4 linked regions of the Arabidopsis thaliana genome follow. The protein of the gene in region 3 binds, or shares a complex with, the protein of the main gene of each other region. Each region holds a gene or a part of one and is shown on either strand. Other genes may lie near its edges.

What was found.
Region 1: TAF6B (region 3) and TAF7 share a complex: the UniProt entries of both Arabidopsis thaliana proteins name them as parts of the TFIID complex.
Region 2: TAF6B (region 3) and TAF15b share a complex: the UniProt entries of both Arabidopsis thaliana proteins name them as parts of the TFIID complex.
Region 4: TAF6B (region 3) and TAF15 share a complex: the UniProt entries of both Arabidopsis thaliana proteins name them as parts of the TFIID complex.

The regions. Positions count from the first base shown.
Region 1 is NC_003070.9:20,627,515-20,631,715, forward strand, and holds TAF7 (TBP-associated factor 7), read right to left. Parts: upstream 2,179-4,201; 5' UTR 1,977-2,178; coding exon 1,862-1,976; intron 1,488-1,861; coding exon 1,354-1,487; intron 1,257-1,353; coding exon 1,137-1,256; intron 991-1,136; coding exon 640-990; 3' UTR 509-639; downstream 1-508. Other genes in the region: SCL33 (SC35-like splicing factor 33), read left to right, coding at 3,162-3,304, 3,528-3,605, 4,173-4,201. UniProt on the Arabidopsis thaliana protein: TAFs are components of the transcription factor IID (TFIID) complex that is essential for mediating regulation of RNA polymerase transcription.
Region 2 is NC_003076.8:23,636,893-23,642,856, forward strand, and holds TAF15b (TBP-associated factor 15B), read right to left. Parts: upstream 4,082-5,964; 5' UTR 3,963-4,081; coding exon 3,776-3,962; intron 3,646-3,775; coding exon 3,552-3,645; intron 3,430-3,551; coding exon 2,796-3,429; intron 2,657-2,795; coding exon 2,506-2,656; intron 2,427-2,505; coding exon 2,348-2,426; intron 1,798-2,347; coding exon 1,674-1,797; 3' UTR 1,556-1,673; exon of another isoform or gene 1,404-1,555; 3' UTR 523-1,403; downstream 1-522. Other genes in the region: AT5G58480 (O-Glycosyl hydrolases family 17 protein), read right to left, coding at 4,335-5,421, 5,591-5,934. UniProt on the Arabidopsis thaliana protein: TAFs are components of the transcription factor IID (TFIID) complex that is essential for mediating regulation of RNA polymerase transcription.
Region 3 is NC_003070.9:20,288,970-20,293,679, reverse strand, and holds TAF6B (TBP-ASSOCIATED FACTOR 6B), read right to left. Parts: upstream 3,081-4,710; coding exon 2,961-3,080; coding exon of another isoform or gene 2,892-2,960; coding exon 2,644-2,891; intron 2,557-2,643; coding exon 2,450-2,556; intron 2,379-2,449; coding exon 2,302-2,378; intron 2,223-2,301; coding exon 2,085-2,222; intron 1,993-2,084; coding exon 1,897-1,992; intron 1,801-1,896; coding exon 1,676-1,800; intron 1,593-1,675; coding exon 1,460-1,592; intron 1,250-1,459; coding exon 1,124-1,249; intron 1,020-1,123; coding exon 908-1,019; intron 819-907; coding exon 520-818; downstream 1-519. Other genes in the region: NHX5 (sodium hydrogen exchanger 5), read left to right, coding at 30-151, 240-327; ABCD2 (ABC transporter family protein), read right to left, coding at 3,435-3,644, 3,733-3,983, 4,106-4,382, 4,460-4,701. UniProt on the Arabidopsis thaliana protein: TAFs are components of the transcription factor IID (TFIID) complex that is essential for mediating regulation of RNA polymerase transcription. Not redundant with TAF6.
Region 4 is NC_003070.9:18,628,055-18,633,719, forward strand, and holds TAF15 (TBP-associated factor 15), read right to left. Parts: upstream 3,986-5,665; 5' UTR 3,825-3,985; intron 3,647-3,824; 5' UTR 3,609-3,646; coding exon 3,504-3,608; exon of another isoform or gene 3,488-3,503; intron 3,394-3,487; coding exon 3,065-3,393; intron 2,949-3,064; coding exon 2,751-2,948; intron 2,156-2,750; coding exon 2,072-2,155; intron 1,696-2,071; coding exon 1,614-1,695; intron 1,501-1,613; coding exon 1,377-1,500; intron 961-1,376; coding exon 764-960; 3' UTR 501-763; downstream 1-500. Other genes in the region: AT1G50290 (uncharacterized protein), read right to left, coding at 1-208. UniProt on the Arabidopsis thaliana protein: TAFs are components of the transcription factor IID (TFIID) complex that is essential for mediating regulation of RNA polymerase transcription.

The sequences.
Region 1 (4,201 bases), 340 kb from region 3:
TATAAAAGCTGTGGAAGCTTCTTGATACAAAGACTAAAAAGAATTTATAGAAAGAACACGAAGAAGATGAAGAGGAAGATCGTGACGGCAACTACTTACGAGGCTCTACACATTTGTTTTAGCTTCGGGTTGTTTTGTTTGAAAAATGACATAATTCATAATTGTGTATGTAATGAAAGGTAGACATGGTTGCACGTATTCACTATTCAGGATAGAAAATGGAGGGACCGATAATTAGAATCTCAATTTCTAGGCAGAGTGTCAATTTTCTTTTCTTATTCTTGGCATTGTAGAAAATGACCCGGAAGAAAAACCTTAAAGTTTAATGAAGGCGATGGTTGGTGTTTGGATTAGATTCCAGCTTTTGATAGGTTTAGCATCAACAATGTCTTGGTTCTTGTTCTTTAAGTCTAAGGTTTTTCTTTTACTATCAATCTTTGGTTCATTCCTGAAACTGTCTTCAAGAAATAACCGAAATTGAACTAGAATAAACAGAATCTTTGGTGTAGTTTGAACGCAAAACAACTTTTCCATTGAAAAAGGTCGAACAAGACATCATCAAATCATGGGGACATAATTATCCATGATTTTCTAAGACAGGACTTGCGCAAACTCTAAGCTTTCGTAAGAAAAATCTCTTTATATAATAATAAACTCACATTGAATCATCAGAATCTTCTGATTCACTTCTCTCCGGTTCAACTCCTGTTGGATTACTAGTGCCTGTCTCAGGAGCTTCAGGCTTTTCAACAGGTGTAGGTGAAGAAGAAGATACTTTCTTACTTGCATTACTAGCATTCTCGTTCGTAGCTGGTTCCTCTTGCTCATGTACCTACACCAAAAAAAGTTCAAATAAATGAAGTTACTAAATCCAAGGAGCAAATATAGACACATCATGTGTCGAAAATAGAAAGAAAAGCTTACATTTTCTACCGTTCCGCCACTCAATATATTCAACAAGTCTCTCTCAACCCGCTGTACAAGCTCCGGCTGCAACATTTTGGCAAATCAATATGTTAACTTAATAGAAAGAACTTTGGAGTTCCAAAAGATACGTTTCACTACAGACTTTCAATCATAATCACAAGTATTAGTGAAACAATGTTGATGGATAGATAACAACAAATGAAAATTACATTAAGGTCAGGCTCTCGACGAAATCTCCTCTTTCGAGCATCCTTCATTGGAGGAGTTAGACCATGTCTGTATTCAACTGTATTAGGCGCAGGATCACCAGGCTCCCTAACCATGATCATCTGTGTGCCAAATCAAAGCATCCATATTGAGTTTTAGTCCAAAATTACAGAAGTTAACGCATATAAGTAAAAGATGAATCAAGTAACTTGATTTTACCTGCCCAATATCAGCAGTTTTGACTAATGCACAATCATCATAAGTTTTAAAAGACTCAACAACTGCAGGGAGATCAAGCAGAGAAGCCGGGAACTCGTCGTTTCCAATCATAAACGTCCCGTTTCTCCCATCCTCTGCAAATTCAGTTCACACAAACATTACGTATCAAGTTTGCTCCAGAGACAATATGCAAATGGATTTCTAGACAAACTATAATGATGCAACAAGAATGTCTTTTGGCTTCTTTGACAAAACAGACAATTCACAACATTAAGCTGATCCAGGAGACACAAATCACAAGCTTTGATCCTTAATCAGATTCAAGAATGTCTTTTGGGCAAACCAACATTCAAGAACTCATCACGTGACACAAGGAGCAATCCCCGAAACGATCCAGACACTAATTTCATTGATTGACGACTAAAGGACATAAATTTAAGAAAAAGGATGAAACTTTAACCCAGATGTAATGTGCCAAAAAAGAGAGAAACCCTTTAAAAATTGGTACCTGAAAAAAACAAATCCAAAGGGATTTCGTCGGAAGTAGAAGCATCCTCGCTTAAAAGCCGATCAATTCGTTCTGAAACAGACGGTGGAACCCTAAGTATGAACTGTTCTTCCATTGTAGATACCAACAGCTTGACTTGAATTCTTCTTCTTAATCAATCCAGAAACGTGAATTCGCGAACGCAGATCGTATCGAATACGTATACTTCGGTCTGTTGATGTCGTAAGTCGAAAAGAGACGAGAATCTATTGAACTGAAACACGAATTCTTTGTTATGTTAGAGAGAGAGAGAGAGAGAGAGAGAGAGAGAGACATTATAAGATAAACCTTCTAGAAGTATCCTTTTAACAATTTATTATTTTATTTCCCTCCCTAAAGGTTTCAAGATTTATGTTTTGACCAAAATAATTATAAAAGGTACAAACAGAACCCAACAATTGGTGAAAAATCACCAATTTGCTATTTAATTCTATTGAATTTTACATTTTTAGTTCCTCTTAGATAATTGATCTCACTAAGTATAAATGTATAATGATAATAAAAAGGAAGATAATTTAATTACCAGAAATTGGAATGGAGCATCTATCAAATAGAAAACTTTAAGGGGATTTTAATACTTTAAAATAATTTTGAGGGGGTTAAATGTAAAACGTAAATAATATAAAGAAACCCTAATAAATAAGTCGTTCATTGATCAATCTTCTCCAATTCTTGCAGCATCACTTCTCCGTCGTTCCTCACCACCGAGATTCGTTCACCGGTAAGTCTTATCCCTGATATTTTGCTCTTCTTCCCAACCGTATATACCCGTATCTTCTTCTTTCTCTGTCGAATAAACTTGGCTTTTCCGACTTCGATTCCTTCAATTGTAAACAACTTCGTTGCCCGTACAACTTTTTGAGTCCGGTGAAAGATCCCGTGACGGAAAAAACTGTAGATCAGGCAATTATTATGTCTATACATCGATATAAAGGATTGAATCGTTCATCTTAAGTAAGTTTGACGAAAGTTGTGATCTTTTGTGCCTATTCACATATAACGTTTCTTAGCTCCTATCTTTTGAAATTGAGCTGATTCGATCTCTACCTGAATTGCATGTGATCTTATTTTGATATAATTTACTATTCAATTAGAAAATATGATCTTTCTAGATTGATTGCTTCTTTAAAGTTCTCTTAGACGCTGGTGTTATAGCTCTTGTGTTTGTGGTCTCTTCTCTCTTAAATATCCAACCTCTTTTGGTGTATTTTCTAATCTAGTTTGTGTTGACTGACTGATAGAGAGATTGAAGCTTGACTCAATGAGGGGAAGGAGCTACACTCCGTCACCACCTAGGGGTTATGGGAGGAGGGGTCGAAGCCCAAGCCCTAGAGGCCGATATGGAGGTCGTAGCAGGGACCTCCCGACCAGTCTTTTGGTTCGCAATCTACGCCATGATTGCAGGTACATACTTTTGACTTCTCTATTATTTTCTTCAGCCATTGTGGATGATGTTATTGTTTGCACACCTCTTAAGCAAGAAGACTTGACACCTCTTAGCATATTTTGGCATGATGTTCTCTTATCTTTACTGTAAAGGTTTTCAAAAAGTTGACGTCAATGTATCTTCATTTCTTGGCTTTTAGCAAATTGTAATTCTCTTCTTACTCCTTGTCCTTTTCTTCAGGCAAGAAGATCTCAGGAAGTCGTTTGAGCAGTTTGGTCCTGTCAAGGACATTTACCTGCCAAGGGATTATTATACCGGGTGAGCATGTTTTGTAAATAGGACAACCAACACTTGATTTTTACTTATGTTCTGATTAGAAAATATCCCTATTTTCACATCTTCTTTCTTGATTTGTTTACTACGTTTATCTGCCTTTCCTTTTTCTTTCGGTCATCTCTTTGTGTCTTCTCATGGATACTAGGGCCTTATGAGAATCTTCTTAAAAACTGATTTCATAAATTAAATTTAGGCTCCATATTTTTCAGATAGTAATTTTCTGTGACATGACAATAGACAGTGAGCATACTTGTGGTCTTAAACCACTAGTTTTCGGTGTCGTTAGGTGGATTAGTCGTTTAGAATTTAGTACCTGGTGAGACCTCATAGTTTTTAGTCGCTTAAGGAAAAGGATACATGATGATATGTTCCATGTCTGAACACACTATGAGTGAGTTAATTGAAGTTGTTGAGGTTTAGCAGTGAATCTAAAGAATTGAAGACATCAAAGAAGTAATTAGAGTTCTTATGAAGATGTTCTATATGGTAGTGAAGAATTGAAGTGAAGTTGAGTTTGTATTCTATGTGAAGATGAATCAAGTCTTCAAGAAGTCATCTTTGTACTGACACTTGCAAGG
Region 2 (5,964 bases), on a different chromosome or scaffold from region 3:
ACATATGTAAAGGAAGATGCATACCTATGGATGTAAATTTCAGATTGAGTAGTAGAGAAATAGCTATAAAGCTCAGGAGGGATAGCGCCATGGCTCACCAGTGCTGTATGTTTTGTATATGCGTACATGTATATCTGTTGGCGCTATCCATCCTGAGTTCCATAGCTTCTTCTTGCTTATATGTGATTCCTACTTCATTCCCTCCTTCGTTTAGCTTCTTGTATACAAGATATGGTAATGGGTAAGTTTATTATTTGCATGTAAATATTTTACCTTTTTTTATATAGAATTGTTGAAGTTCAAATCATATAGAAAATTGTGTCGAAAGTGAGAAAAATCGCAGGTATTGTCAATTTGAGGTTAAGAACACATTAAGTATTAAATAGTGTGGTCTTACAAGTTACAACTTACAAATATCTGGATTTCACACATCTAAGCAGTTTGTTAGAATTACATTGTTACTGCCTTACTTTTTTTTTTTTTTTTTTTTTTTGTAAATTTATGCTTAAGACTACTGGTGGACTTTTATTAAGAATATGTATATTATCCAATATGTGTGTGAAAGGGATGGTAAATAAGTAATATCGCCGTGTGCTAGAGCCAGCCAGCGATTGAGCTGTGAATATGCAATGTTAGAAGATGGATTCTCTTTGTCGAATTGAGAATGGGAATCTTGAAACTAATGTTACAGGATTCCAAATTTCCTGGATTCTTTCTCTCGTCCATATTTTCTACACAACAAGTCATTAATAAACTTTCTCTTGGGATTTTCGGCATTAGTCTTTTTTGTTCCTATAATTTCAACATAAACTTTCGTTACATGTAACACATTAAAGAGTTGGCCAATCCGGCACTTGACCAAAAGGTCATGACATATACACATAGAGAACTTTACGAGACACCCTTCTCTTTAGTCCTTGGGATCCAGATTGAACGATTAACTATTTATTAACAACGTCTTTTATCCAAAAAAAGGCCACTCATTTGTAAAACCCTAATCCTAATCATAGCCCCAGTGAGTGAAGTTGGCAATAAAATCATCAAGTTGATCTTTGAAAGGTCACTGCATACTTCAGATCAACTGATCAGACACAAGTGCCTAGCCATCCCCCACTCCTGCCAATTCTCGAGGAACACATGTTGCTATAAAAGAAGTTTGCGAGAAAAAACGATAACAACTCCGAAAATTGTAAAGAGAAGTGTGGTTGCCTAAATGAATGCATTACACAATACAACATGAAAACATACGACTGTTTTGTTTGTGTTGAACAGAGTCAAAAAAAGAAGGAAGAGAAGCAAAAAAGGGACTTCTGGTGTTGAAAGAAGTAATCAAGATGAATGCACTCACCTGAAATCATCATAGCACCAATTTGCAATGCATTTTGCAGTTAAATATCAGCTTCCTTCAATAAAACAAAAAACAAACATTTCACATCGTGAAAAACAAACTAAAAATAAACCGGAGATGCATGAATAATAGATCCCCAAAGAAACAGAACAAGTAGGGAGAAAAAAGGGGTAATTTTGCTCAAGGTCAAAGTGAACAAAAACCTACCTCTTTTTTTGTATCTCCAATATGAGGATTCATAGAACATTTTACTAAAATTCCCTCCTTAACACACACAAAACTCTTAGAACACATAACAGCTGATTCATTCATTCCTCTCTTTCTCTCAATATGGACGAGACCGGTTTCCCCCATGGTGGTTTCTGTCTGGCCCTGAACTGTAGTTGTCTCTTCTTCTGTCTCCCCCACCACCACCATAGCCACCACCTCCTCCTCCTCTACCCCCACCTCTGCGACATTCACAAGTTTGCAAGGACAACATTATTAGATCAGACACAGACATCTCTAATTAAAACCAGCTTACTACGTAAGATGAAGTGACTCAACACACAACAAAGACGAGTCTTATAGAGCATGGAAAACCAGATAAAGATACAACTTATATGGGGAATTACTAGGAGCTTATAAGAAGCATGAACAAACAACAGATCTCTTCACAACCAAGAGCAGCCACAGCTATAGGTTACAAGATAACTACATAGATTTATTTCCTATGGCATGAACATAGACCTAAGGCATAATTTGATGACATACGAACTCCCAACCCTTTCTGTCATACCCAGATGAGTGTACAAAGCAAATCCCCAGTAGGATACAAGATCCAAACAGTCTTCAGAGACAAGGAACATAAACTTAGCATTGCAAAAACTCATATTCCCTACTAAAATTATAAAGCTAAAAGCCTAAAACAACTAGAGTACAAACACCTATAAGATGGAGCAGGTGGTAACAGCTAAATGGTAACAAAAAAGAATGCTGATAAATGATCAGGACAGCTACCTCTGGTCAAAGGTAGGAGCACGGGGCGCAGACTTTTCTGCCATCGTTACACTAATCTTGTTCCCCCTCATTTCGTAATCTACAAAACAATCCACCACCATTCACGAAACAGAACTTTTAAACAATTTTAAGCTAGACAGCAATTCCATAGTACATACTGTTGAAAAAGCCGCCTGCAGAGTGTGCAGCGCTGGGATCTTCATAAGCCAGACAGGCGTCACCTTTATAGTTACCCTTCTCATCAGTGTAAATCTTAATATTATAGGGCCACTGATCTTTGTAACCACGCTTCTGCTTAATTCTTCCAACCTAAAATAGATCCAACCAGACACACTTTATCAGCACACCAATAAACATGTACACAAACAAGAACTTAATAACTTATAGCAAGGGAAAGGCTTATTCCAAGATATAAAACACAACAGAAGTAAAAGACCAGTGTTATTACTTGGCCAATGCCACCAAAGAGATCCTTGAGTTCATCAGTTGTCACATCCGGAGGTAAATTAGAGATGTATATTCTAGCATTATCACAATTATCATCACAATCAGCATCGCACTGCTTGACTTTTTCAGTAGCTGCATCTTCATAACTAGCTTCCTGCCGTCGAGGAGCACTACCACCATCATAGCCGCCACTCCTACCACCACGACCACCAGTGCTCGGTGCATCACTGCCATAACCCCCTCGTGGACCACCATATGACGGCGGGCCACCAGAATAGCTTGTAGGCGGGGGAACAGCTTCCATTCCATAACCCGTGGGTGGAGGATAACTTCCAGAACCATCGTAGGATGGAATAGCTGCAGCAGGAGGAGGAGCCTGACCATACGAACCATTTTCCCTCTGACTACCACTACCATAGCTACCACCACTCCTACTTCCACCATCATATCTACTACTCTCATAGCTCCTACCACTATCGTTTCTACCACCACGACCACCCCCACGATCACTGTCACCTCCACCTCGGCTATATCCACCACCTCCACGATCATTAGCACCAGAACTAGTACCAGAAGGAGCAAGTGCACCACACTTGTTACATTCAACTCTCCTTGCAAAGTTCACGTTCCCACAACTATACAAACAGTTTCGAGGGTAAACAATTTCAAAACATGCTCCCACAAAGGAATTCAACAGCTAATTCAATTCATTACATATGCAGAAAGAATGGAATCCCAAATAATTTGCAATCATTACCTGGGGTTGGGACAACGCCAATCTCCATCTCTGCCTCCGCCGCCACTTCCTCTTCCACCGCGATCACCTCCTTGATATCCACCACCTCCACCGCCTAAATCAAAACGAATCATCGAAATAGTGAGAAACTAAAGATTTAACAAAAGTAGCTCAGCAAGGAATGGAGAAATCTAAAGAATCATAAGGTTATATCAATCAGATCTGCAACAATCTAAATCACAAACCTCGATTTCCTCTACCACCGCCTCCACCGTAACCACCGCGTCCGCCGTAACTACCTCCGCCAGAGGCACCGCGTCCACCATATCCAGCATCACCACCTCCATAACCTCCCCCTCCGCCGTATCCATCACCACCGTACGACGGAATAGGCGCACCTCCGCCGCCGTCTTGATTGTACATCCCAGCCATGACCTAGGGTTTGCGATAAACAACAGACCAAAACTCTTAACGAATCGTGTGAGAGCCTTTTTAGACGTAGAATAAAAAATCTCGCGTTTTATTTATATTTCTCTCAAAAATAGTGGAACTTTATTATTGCATTTATCTTAAATCTTAAATTCTTTTACATCTTATCTTTTACCGACCGGTTTCCCAAAATAACTGGACTTGCTTTTTTTATCAAATAAGACAACATGGTTCTAAGGCCCATAATCATCTAACCTTTACGAAGGCCCAGCCCAATAACAGTTATTTTTTACGTAGCCCAATACAGTTTTGAAATGTGGCTATTAGAGAGAAATTAGAGGCAAAATCCACCAAAATTTTGCTATAACTACAACTTTAAAAGAGTCCGGACAGTAGGAACAATAAGAGGAGAGGCCAGCTCTGAAAGAAATTTGGAGTTTGCGAAGATGAATGAGAAGTGTCAAGTTGAATCGAGAACCGGCAATTATCCTCAGAAGGATCAACAGTAGTGATCAAACCAAGTCCACCAAAGTTGCAGCTTTCTGCACTGTGATCATTTTGCTGGTACAAGCTATTGAACGCGTATGAAACGTTGCCTGGCCATCTGATGCCTGAACACGACCCGCCAGGAAGTATCGATGTACAGTCCGCAACAGCACACGCTTCTAATGCTCTTGCTGACGCGTTTGACAAGTCCTTGTTATTGTTCACCACACACCACTTAGGAGGAAGGTACTGAACATTCTGCGCGTTTACCTGATTCTTATGGTTGAAACTGAAATTGTATTTGGCTTGACCGTCGAAAGTGAACACTCCCCAGTGCCTCTCAAAGTTCCCAGCAGATAAGTTTCTCTGATCTTCGTCCAAGAGACTTTCAATGTAGGTTTCAACAGGAGGACGCGGGAGAGAGGCCGTCTTTTTCTCCAAGTGAACTATCAGTCCTTTAAAGAACGCCTCAGCAGTCAGTGATGTTGCATTTTCTGCTCCATCTGTAGGCCAACCGATCTTTGACACAACGATATCCACCTCCGAAAACCCAATTGTGAACAATGCAGAGACAAGTGTGTCATAGCTTAGATCAAAGCTGTTTCTGTAGGTTTTACGTCCGTCTTTGTGAGCCTTTGCTGTTTCTTTAAAGAGGCTAAAGTCAAGGGAGATGTTCTTGTTCTGGTGAAAGCTTAGGAAAGGAGAGATTGTCACAAAAAAAGGAGAGTGGTGCTTTGTGAGAAAGGAGAGGAGTTCAATCATCGTCTTGTTGAGGTCAGCCCTAAAGTGTCCTGAAGAAGGTCGACCAGATTCAGAAAGAAAGGAATCAAAGCTTGAGGGGACTACAACCTTCACTTCATTTGCCAAGTTCGCCTTAACTAAAGCATTTTGGATATTCATAGCTGCCCCAATCACAAAAGGCTTATACTGATTGCCATAGCTCTGGAGAAATGGCTCTTCTCCAACTGCTACATACCTGAAAATCAATTCTTTTCTTTAATGATAATTTCACAATAAGAAGATTGGCAATTTGGCATTGAAACAAATCCGACTCATTCACATTCCATAAGTTAAATTCCAGCTTAAAAATCTTAAATCTATATATATATAACTGGATAAGCAGAAGAGAAGGAGAAAGAAGATACTCGATTCGAACTCTGTTTCCACCGTTGAAGTAACGAGTGACATTGTCATGTACCCAGCTCTCTGCTACCTTTACGGATGCATTCAAGCTCTTGAGCATCGAATTTTGGATTCCGATAGTGACACCAATATTAGAACCAGAGAGAGCTCGGAGAACTTTTGGGTCGGCATCGAAGAGCTTCACTTTGACAATGCCGTTTGATTTCAGAAGCTCTACAACCTTTGAAGGCGGAAGAGGGTGCGACGCTTCTGTCCCCCAATTTATGCCAACTGCTCTGACGGTTGTTCCCGTCAAGCTCAACCCTGCCGTGACGGCGAGGAGGAGGAGAAACAGCCGACGAGCCATCAAATCCAGTGAATCTCGTACTTCCACGAT
Region 3 (4,710 bases):
TTTTCTAACGCTCCCAGATACGTGGTTAGGGCTTTGAAGAGAGCGATCATCAGTATGTCCCTCCTCCTTTTAGCATTGGAGCTTCATCTGACGAGGATACATCATCATCAGGAAGCAGGTTCAAGATGAAGCTGAAGGAGTTTCACAAAACGTAAGAATAAGAGAATGGCTTAGTATGTTTTCCTGAGTAAAAAGCGATATTTGCAATTTTTTGGGACTCACTTGACAAAACTTTGCAGCACTACATCATTCACCGCGTTGGACAAAAACTTTCTGACTCCGTTCTTCACAACTAATAGTGGAGATGGAGATGGAGATGGGGAGTAGCATGGAAAAGATGTGTATTTGTGGTCCAGGCCAAGCTATAATTAGAGTACACATATGTCTATGTAAGATTAACACTGGTTGATTTTACCTCTCGCAAAATGCCCACTATAAAGTTGACGATTTCCAAGACATTTCGAAATATTATATAGATGTATTTATTGTGGTACATACAATTACCATGTCAATAATCTATTACAAGAAGAAACTGAGCTCATGTGTGGGGGTGAACATAAGCATGCTCTCACCAAAATACTCAAAAAGAGGAAAGAGATAGTTGTCGACGTCAGTGCCTGCAGCAGCTGAAGTCTTCGGAGCAATTGTTGAGGGACTATTGTGGTGCCGTGCATCTGCATCTGTGTGGGACTGTTGAGGGACTGTTGTGGTTCCGCGCATCTGCATTTGTGTGGAGCTCATTTGTATAATTCCCCCTACTGCTATCTTCTTCAGTGGTGGTTGATGAGTTAAGTTGTCACTGCTTGCTTTGCGTTTACCTTGGCCGAAGAAAAAAATTATTTAAGAACGCGTATCTCCGTGTTTAGAACGCCAAAAGAAAAAAAAAGAATGAGACCAGATTTTATACTTTGCCTGGGGCTGGTGAGCTTTCCATTTGTCTTCCAGACAGAGCTAGTTGGAGGAGACAGCAGTGTCTCAGATGTTTTAAGCCGTTCATATAGGCATCGACCAGCTGCCACCTATGGAAAGTTAAAGTTTATATGCTCTCCTGCCTGTTTTGCAACACGAGATTGAAAGCAAACAAGTTTTCTAATTTCTGTATCAAACTAGAAAGCATACTCACCATCAACGCTCCATAAACAAGCCAAGCCCCATGCCTCTTAGCTTCTTCCTTCTGCTTCTCAAGTCCCATTTCAGGTAAAAGAAGCAGCAAATACGGCCCTAGGTTTGGGAGAACAAGAAAGCGAACCTAGACAAAGGTATAAAGCAAGAAAATACTTACGGACGACCAAAGGATATATATCTTAAGGTTCAATTGCAGGTTTAATAACTTTATCGAGGATGTCGGATCATGCTACTATTAGTTTTAAACTTATGCTTTCTTATGTAAAAATTCTAGACGCACAACCTAAAGTGCTACTCTTCGTTATGATAATCAAGAAGCATCAAGAGGAAGTACCATATTAAGCCCAAGGGCTACCATCCCTTGAATTGCCCCATAGTGTTGTGGGAGTGCCTTGGTTGGGTCCAAAAAGGTATGAAGCAGTGATCTTGTGACACGTGGCAACAAATTGTGATAAACGTGTCCAAACCTGTAAAAAGTTCACTAATGTGATTGCAAGTTATATGGTTGTATAAGATGCATGAAATCACAAAGCAAGAATGTAACATTAACCTTTTGCACGTTGAAGCAACTGTGCTGGCAGTGAAGTTTCTCAAGTCCCAGTGATTATCAGATGACCTTCTTCCTAAGCGCTTGGCAATAAGGCAAGTGATAATAGACGGCATCAACTGATGCAGCTGAACAGAATACAACAAGTTAAAAGTCAACAGAAGGAGGAGAAGGGAGAAGAGAAACAAAAAAAAACAAAAAAAAAGTGTGCGCACAAAACTTACATATGGCTCAATATGTACATGAGGGTTATGAAGGAGGCTTCTAGCAAGACGCATCAAAGCCAACAAGATTGGATAATTATCCATGTTTTTGACAATCTGGAGAAATTGCAAGCACAAAAAAAGTAGTGAAAATGTGGTCAAGTTAGAATAAAAGTCAAGACTAGAAGTGTTGGATTACAAAGACAAACCTCTTCAGCGATGAAAGAAGTGAAAAAGGGAACTAATGGGTGGAGTCCAGGATCAATTTCCAAGCTGGCGAGTGCTTGTCTAAAGAGGGTGGAGCCAGATTGAGTCAAAGCCCACTCCGTGACTTTGTCAAAGTAAATCTGCATCGAGAGCAAGCAAGGATTATATAGCATTCAAAGAGCGAGGTAAAGACCCAAAAAAAGAAGGGAGTAAAATAACCTGAAGGTCCTTAGAAAGCACCTGTCTAGCAGCCAAGCCATCGTCCTTATATTCCGATCGTTTAAGGTCAGATATGGCTACAAATTGTCATGGAAGAGGGATTAGAAGGAGAAGTAGTAGGTGATGCAAAAGAAGACAAAAGAAATACCTTGGAGAGGAGAATTCTGTGGAATGGAAGGTTGAATACCATCAATTGCCAACCAATGAGAAAACAGATGCATCAGGAGGTGCATTTGGTAGAGGAGCTTCGATAACCTGCACAAGAGACCATGAAGGGAAGCTTAATAACAATAAACAACATTTCACCATCTTCTTCATTCATGGCCAATCAATGAAGCTTACATTCTTGAGCTCGACATCTTTGTCATCGAAGAAGTATAGATCTCTGTTCTCAGGAGCTCTCTTGAACCGCATACTTTTGGAGCCAGAGGTAGGCTATACAAAAAAAAGTCAAAATCAGGGTCAACGGTATGAAATAAAAGAAGAAGAGAGGAAGAGGAAACCTCCAAATTCCTGAAATGAAGAGCAGAATCGACATCATGAGCCATTAAAGTGGTGCGTCGAGCATGACGCATGCATTTGATAGCTTCCTGGAGATTGCGACGACAAGTTAAAGAGGAGATTAGAGGGCAAAAGTAAAGTTGAAGTTGATGATATACCTGCATGACCTCTCGGACGCGATACTCGACATCGGGAGCAAGAGCGGCTGAGACGTCCGGAGAAAGAGTGGAGAGTCCAATGCTCTGAGCTATCACTTCAATGGATTCTTTCGTCACCATCCTCCTTGCGCCTTCTTTCTTTTTCGACTTTGAGCGACTGAGTCGAGTCAGTCGTGTTACATTTTCTCACTCTATCAGGCTTTCTCAAATGGGCCCATCGTTAGATTTATTGGGCTTATGATAAATACTCAGCCGGTTTTGAATTTTTAGCTCATCTCGCGTGTTATTTTTAATCAGAACTTCGTTGCACTCGTATCTGTATCAATCTCTCTATTTACTTGCATCTTCAGTCAACGTCAAGTCTGGTAGATTATATACAAAATGGACACCAAACATGTTTCTTATATGTTTCATGACACCCGTTTGCAGATTTACCTGCTGCTTCTGTCTCTTATGTAATCAATCAGGTTTTGATCAGCTTTCACTTGGCACCTCCTTTTGATTCAATCTACCGTACAAAGAATCTTGGGCATCCACGTCCTCTATTCGCCAGTTACGTTCATTGCTCTTCGGGTCTGCCGTTGAGATTTGTAAGATCTTGTTATGGAATTTCGTTAAAGTCCGGCGGTGGCCAATGCTTATATATGTAATGCCAGCCGACTGGATTTGCTGGTACAGGAACGCCTGGGCATCAAGAGGAATTTTAATGGCTCAACGCTACATGTACATGATATTATTCTAAATGATAGATGAGAGGAGAACCAACAAGTACCTCATTAGCTTCATCCAACGCACTGGTGGATTCATCCAGGAGCGCCAGCTTTGGCTGAGACAGCAATAACCGTGCAAAGGCAAGGCGCTGCTGCTCACCAAGTGAGAGAACACTGGACCACTCGTGTATCGAATCAAGACCACCAAAGCGATCCGCTATATGTCCAAGACAAACCTTCTCTAGAGTCCGCATCAGATCATCTGTTGTCGGCTTTTCATTTCCGTCCTCTCTAATCAGCAGAGGTGGTGAACCTAACAAAATCAACGCATTTTTTCTTCAGTCGATTTGCTTTTGGGTTCTATAATCTGCTTGCATAAACTTAAATGGAGTTGAAAGAAATGGTTGTTACTAGACACAAATTTAAACTGAGTACCGTCAATATTACTGCCACCAGGTGTCGTCTCCTCCACAGTTGCACTCCAGGTAGGATAAAGCAATTGCTGACGCAAAGATCCCAGAACCATATAAGGCCTTTGTGGAAGGAACAATACGTCTCCTCTTTTCCCTGAATTTTCCTGAGTATCAGATTTCTCCTGTGTAAAATCTACCTCAGGATCGAGGTAGAACGTGATTTTTCCTTTCCCTGACCTCCAAAGACCAGCCATTGCTCTTAGCAGCGAAGTTTTTCCACTCCCACTAGGACCCATTATCTGTTAAATGGCATTTTTAAGTAACTTCCAATCTACCAGTCACATGCTTTAAACACAAGTAGTCAAAGTGAACTAACCAGTAGGTGATCCTTGTCATATACATCTGCAGATAAGTTGTGAACCAATGTGGTTCCGTTTGTTGGTGTCTGAAGAGTAAGCTCCTCGATCTCCAGACGCTTTTGGTTCGGTTGGGACTTGATTGAACCATTGGTGTCCAGCAGTGAAGAGTTCATCTCACTCTGATATGTCAGCTCAATCTCGTCCACAGTGTCAGATGGATCTCTGAAGATGTTGTTATCCAAAAGATCATCAAATTCACCTGTGTTGG
Region 4 (5,665 bases), 1.7 Mb from region 3:
GGCTATTATGACCTAAAATTAATCTCCAATTGAAATCTTTAGAAATTATTGAAAGAAAAACTGAAAAAGAAACTAAAGCAATCGGTAAGAACAACCGATCGAACGGCGGAGGAAGGATAAAAGCCGGCCAAAACCGCTTGTAAAAGCCGGATTTGCCAGAAGAGGACCGGCCATCTTTGCTAACAAAGCCAAAATTAATCTCCTTCATATCTTTTAGAGAGAGGAACTGTTGAATTCTGTCGACCGGATTATTCTGGTAAACTGCCGTCCCAAGTTTTGCCGACCATGTTTATGACAATGATATGACATTAATATATATCCCCACAAATAAGCTTAATTTTTTCTTATCCTATTATAGTTTCAGAAACTATATTGTCCACAAAAATCTTCTTGTTCTATTTTTTTTATTCCCATTAAAATCATACAGCGATGAAATGATTGGCGATGGAAAAAAAAACAAAGGGACAACTAAAAATAATACTACAAAAGACAAAATAATACTTAATACACGTCTAAATTAGCAATTGACGTCGCTAACCATGTTTTGCCATAATTACCAATTTTCGAAACGATAAACATGGAGTATTCTCAGAACATAATCAGACCAAAACAAGTGAAAAACAATAGCCATTGATTCAAACCAAAATGAGTTTCACTTCACACAATAAGTAAACAAAAGGCGAAGACATTGTAATGATACCGTTGTAAAAGTAAGTCGACAAAACAGATGAGAAACTAAACCCTAACACTTATGAGTAATCTCTCAGTTACGGTACCTGCTTCCACGTTCGCGACCGTAGTCTCTGTCTCTGTCCCGATCATGGTCATAGTCATAGTCACGCTCCTTGCCTCTTTCCCTCTCTCGGCTTCTGCTTCTGCGTCTATCCTTATCGTAGTGATGATCTCTACCACGGTCTCTTTGCCTGTCTCTGCTTCTCTCTCTTCCATCTTTATCAATACCTGCCACATTCATATAAATTATGAACAACTACATTGGATCATGACCTTTCTATTTTTGGGGAAGCAGCAATAAACATTCTTTTCTATCTTCCTCTATATCTATTCAGTGAAAAGAAGAAAACTCTAACAAGGAACAACACTGTTTATTGGAGATCCCCACTAGGCTTGGGCTATAGGCAAGTTAGCTGCAAGCTTAATGTAAAATTTCAAACAAATCCCTCCCCGCATATATGTTAAGTTTCACTCAAGTGTCTAGATGACAAGCAGAAACTTTCTTTGAAGACTATACACAGAGAGTAGATATAGATCGAGCCAAATAAATCTCTATTATAGTGGAAAGGTTCTGTTCATAAGCTCAACCTATTTGATGATTGCATAGATTTAGTTCATATTAGTTAAAATTAAACAGAACTTACCTAGTTCCTCGACTTCCCACCCAGCACGACCAGCAGCAACAGCAGGTCTGGTGTCAGCTTGGTTTGTTTTAACACGGTACTTCTTCTTTAGATTCCCAAACTCATCATACATTTCACCATCATCCTGAAATATATTAGACGTATAAGTCAAATGGAATATACAAAAAACTGAGAGCTCATCCGAATTGCAACAAAAAAACAAAAAACAAAGAACTCTTCAGGAAAAGCATATCTTACTTCTTCAGCCTCACGCCTGCGTCTCTTCGTTTCCTCTAATTCTTGTTCATCTAATTCCTTGTAACCACCACCACGGCCTCCCCTATTTAGAGAAAAAAAAATGAATAAGCACTGGTCTAGATAAAAACAACCTTCCAAACTCAAACCTTAATGTTTCTTAATGCAACTCTAATTTGGCCAAAATAAAACATTACAAGTGGGATAAATCAATTGTCGAAGAAAACAAGCACTCGTTCAAATTGCAGAAGAGAGTATTGAGACTTTTTCCCAGGTATCTATTAGGCCCTGTCTAAAAGCAGAATAAATATACCCTGCTGACAACAAAACTACAAACATCGAACAGAAAATCTACGACCTCTCCTACATTCACTGTAAAATCATTTATAATCCAAATCCTCAGCTCGAACATTGCAAGATAACAATACAAAGGCAATCTTATCACTGGCTTTGAGTCATACCTCACACCACCTTCATTCTGACCAGGTTTATTGGTGTTGCAGATATTACATTTTAGACGTTTCGCCCAGTTGACATTGCCACACCTGAAAGAATTAGCGCAAAAAGAAAAAGTGCATTATGCATAAGAACTCACATTCACACAGTGCAGCCTCTTAGTTAAGCTACTCGATGACACATAGCATAACTTGCAATTAAACTAAAACATAGTCCATTTTTTGTATCAGACACAGAAAATTGAAGGCAGCCTATCTTCACAAATATAACTTCTTAGAAGGATCAAGACTACAACCTACCCACGTTTCAAATTACATTTTTCAGATTAACAGCCATCTGAAGGAAAATTACGAAATTAGAATCAACATTCAAAAAAGAAGGAAAAAATATGTGCCTCCACACATAATTTGGACCAGTTTAAGAGACACAGCACAGCAGAGCGGGCCATCACTTCTTTCTAAGTAAAGAGTCAACTGACATCATCAAAAGCATTGATATACAAGCTATATTCCTTCCATACATAAGACAAATTAATTTTATATCCAGCAACGCTATATGCCATCTGAATGTTCTCTTTTGCTACTGAATATAAATTGTTTCTTGCGATGTGTTTTAATCAAGTACCAAACGCTCATTATCCTCTGAAACTGAACTAACTATTTCAAACCTAATCGGAATGCTTACATTGGACAAGCCCAATCATTTGGACCAAAGAGACCAGTAGGAGCACCACTGGGCTGCTTCCCCGGGGCCCCACCATCAGCGCCTCCACCTCGACCCCTTCCACGACCAGCACCCATGCTGCCACCAGATGCACCAGCTGGTCTAGCAGTTCCACAGCGGTTACAAACCCCACGGAATGCAAAATTCACATTTGTACAACTGCCAATGAAAGAGTATGAGAACACTACTGCTAGAAACTATAAAATATATAAAAACTAGCAAATTAACGGAAACAAGAGCTAGATGAAGCTCCTCACCGATATCACATCACAGACCTTGTATTAGGGCACATCCAGTCACCATCTTGCTGCCATGGCTTTGCCGAAGAATCAGCCTGACCCCTCCCCCTTCCAGCACCTCCATTTGTTTCCTCAGCACCTCCATCGAATTCAACAAACTCAACTGCATCACCAGCATTTTTATTCTTCGACTCGGCCATAAAAACTCCAATGGTGTTTCCATGAAAATCTTTGTTATTGAACCATTCAACAGCAGCCAAAGCAGCATGCGGATCCTCATAGGTAACAGTAGCATCTCCCTTGGGCTCATCAGTTTCTTTATCCCGGTACAGCCATACCTTAGGAGTACCAGTTCGTTTGTCTCTCTAAAAGCAATGTAGAAAAAAATGTAAGAAACTCGAAAATCTAGTGACCTATAAAAGATTGCAATGACGTCAAAACAAAAGCAACAATTAGTACCTGGCCAATACCATACCTTAAGCAACCCAATGGTCCCAAAATAGTCAGCCAACATATTCTCGTCAGTTCCTAAGGGGAGATTTGAAACGTAGACTGATCCATTAGTAGGATATCCAGCCATCGTAATCCAATTTCATCAAAAAGAAAGCCGCCAAGAATCTGTAAATGACAATACCAAAACTTCACTTAGCCAACATTGAAACCTCGCTAAGAAATAACATCGAGACATTGAAACCCCAAAGTTTTGAGCTCAAAAACCATGAGAACAAAAAGAAGATTCGAAATCTGACCAACGAGATAGGGAAACATAGAAGAGCGAGATAGATAGAAATCTGACCAGCGATGAGGATTCAGCGGCGAAGGAGAGGTCGTCGGACTAGGGTTTCTTTCTAAAGTGCGTCGAGTGAGAGAGAGAGAGAGAGATCTTGCGAATAAAGATTTTCTTAAGGGTAACCTCGATAGTCGATTGTTTGTTTGGTGGTTATATTTGCAATTTCATATAACTTTCCCCCTTAAATTGTAATTTTGTTTTTTTATTTTTTTCGTGGTTAAGGAATTCTTTTTTTGGGTGCAAATTGAGGAATTATTAATTTACAAATTAGATGAGTACCCGCACTACGTGCGGGTTTACGTATTACTATTTACTAATTGTTTTATATAATGTCTGTTTATATAAAGTAAAGTTGAATGCATAGGTTTTGAAACATAAATATGTTTTGTAATTGTTTTTGAAAAGTCCAACTATATTAGTTCATCTGAAAAACGAATGTGCTTGAGTTGTTTTTTATTGTTGTTTTAGATTCTTAGTTTTTTTTTGAATTTATATATCCTTGCTTTTTTAGTTATATGTATAGATTGTGAGACAGTGAAATTTTAGAAAAATTATTTCTTACACTAAAAATATAACATGTCTTTATTAATCATGTCTTTGCATATTCAATCTAAGCATATTCAACTCGATATTCTTAGAAAGTTTAGTTAAGTTCTTGTCATAATCTTATATCTTACGTATTAGTTATAAGGATAGCTCCTCAAATATCTTTCAAATTACCTGTTTTCTTAGCATAAATATCGAAAAGCTTAGATATATTTAATCTGCATATTCATTTAGTTTCTTTCATAATAATCGTCTAATTTTTAGGCCAGGAATATGTGTAACATGTTTGGATTTTATCATCACTTTAGCCACTTAAGTGGATCTCAAAATTAAAGAGGATATATTGAATTAAAAATGTAGAAAGAGTGATGGTTCAAGTTCTCATTAATTATATTCTCCTATTTTAGTTGTTATGTTGAATTAATTACTAATTATGTATTACTTATTTTATGAAGTCTAGGTGGCAAGCTCTCATGTGCTTATGTGTCAAGTTGTGGGAGAGAGTTAGTCTTCTTTCATATATATGATTTGTGTTTCAATGTTGAATCTATTTATAGCCAATAATATCTAATACTACTAATATTATACTACCAAAGTATTGGTCAATAAAAAAAAATACATTTGCATCTAACATATATTGACTAAATTAATAATTAAAAAAGTATTGACTCATACTACAGTAAAATATTTATATAATGCTATCTATTTTGTAAAGTTACTAGCATAAGCTTGTCATTTTTTAAAATCTGTCACTACTAATTTTACTATGACTAGGTAATCACCCGCGCTACGCTGCGGTATTTTTAAATTTTTTGTATCGTTTAATTTAAATATAATTTTTAATTATCTAATCATTTACTTATATAATAAGTAATTATTCTTAATATTAAAATATATTTTTTCTAACAACATTCTCAACAATGCATTATACACACAATTCCTAAACAATGTTCGTCTTAAACTAATTAAATAGAAGGTAATATTGGGATTCTCGAAACCTAAGAATTTGATGATTAAACTTCTTACATACTCTTCACCCTCGGCGATTTATTATATAGATATATAACAATATGCAAACTATTCAAACTATTAATTAATCCATGACTACTATACACTCATAATTTGAGTTAAGATTACAGAAAAAAATCTTTTGAGTATGAGAAAATCAATCAAATTATTTTATTGAAAAACATTTAATAACAAAATAAATTTAGTATTAGTACAATTAAATATGTAAAATTAAATAATAAATACATCATTAATCTATAAATTAAAAGTTGAAGAGCTTACATTAATTATTC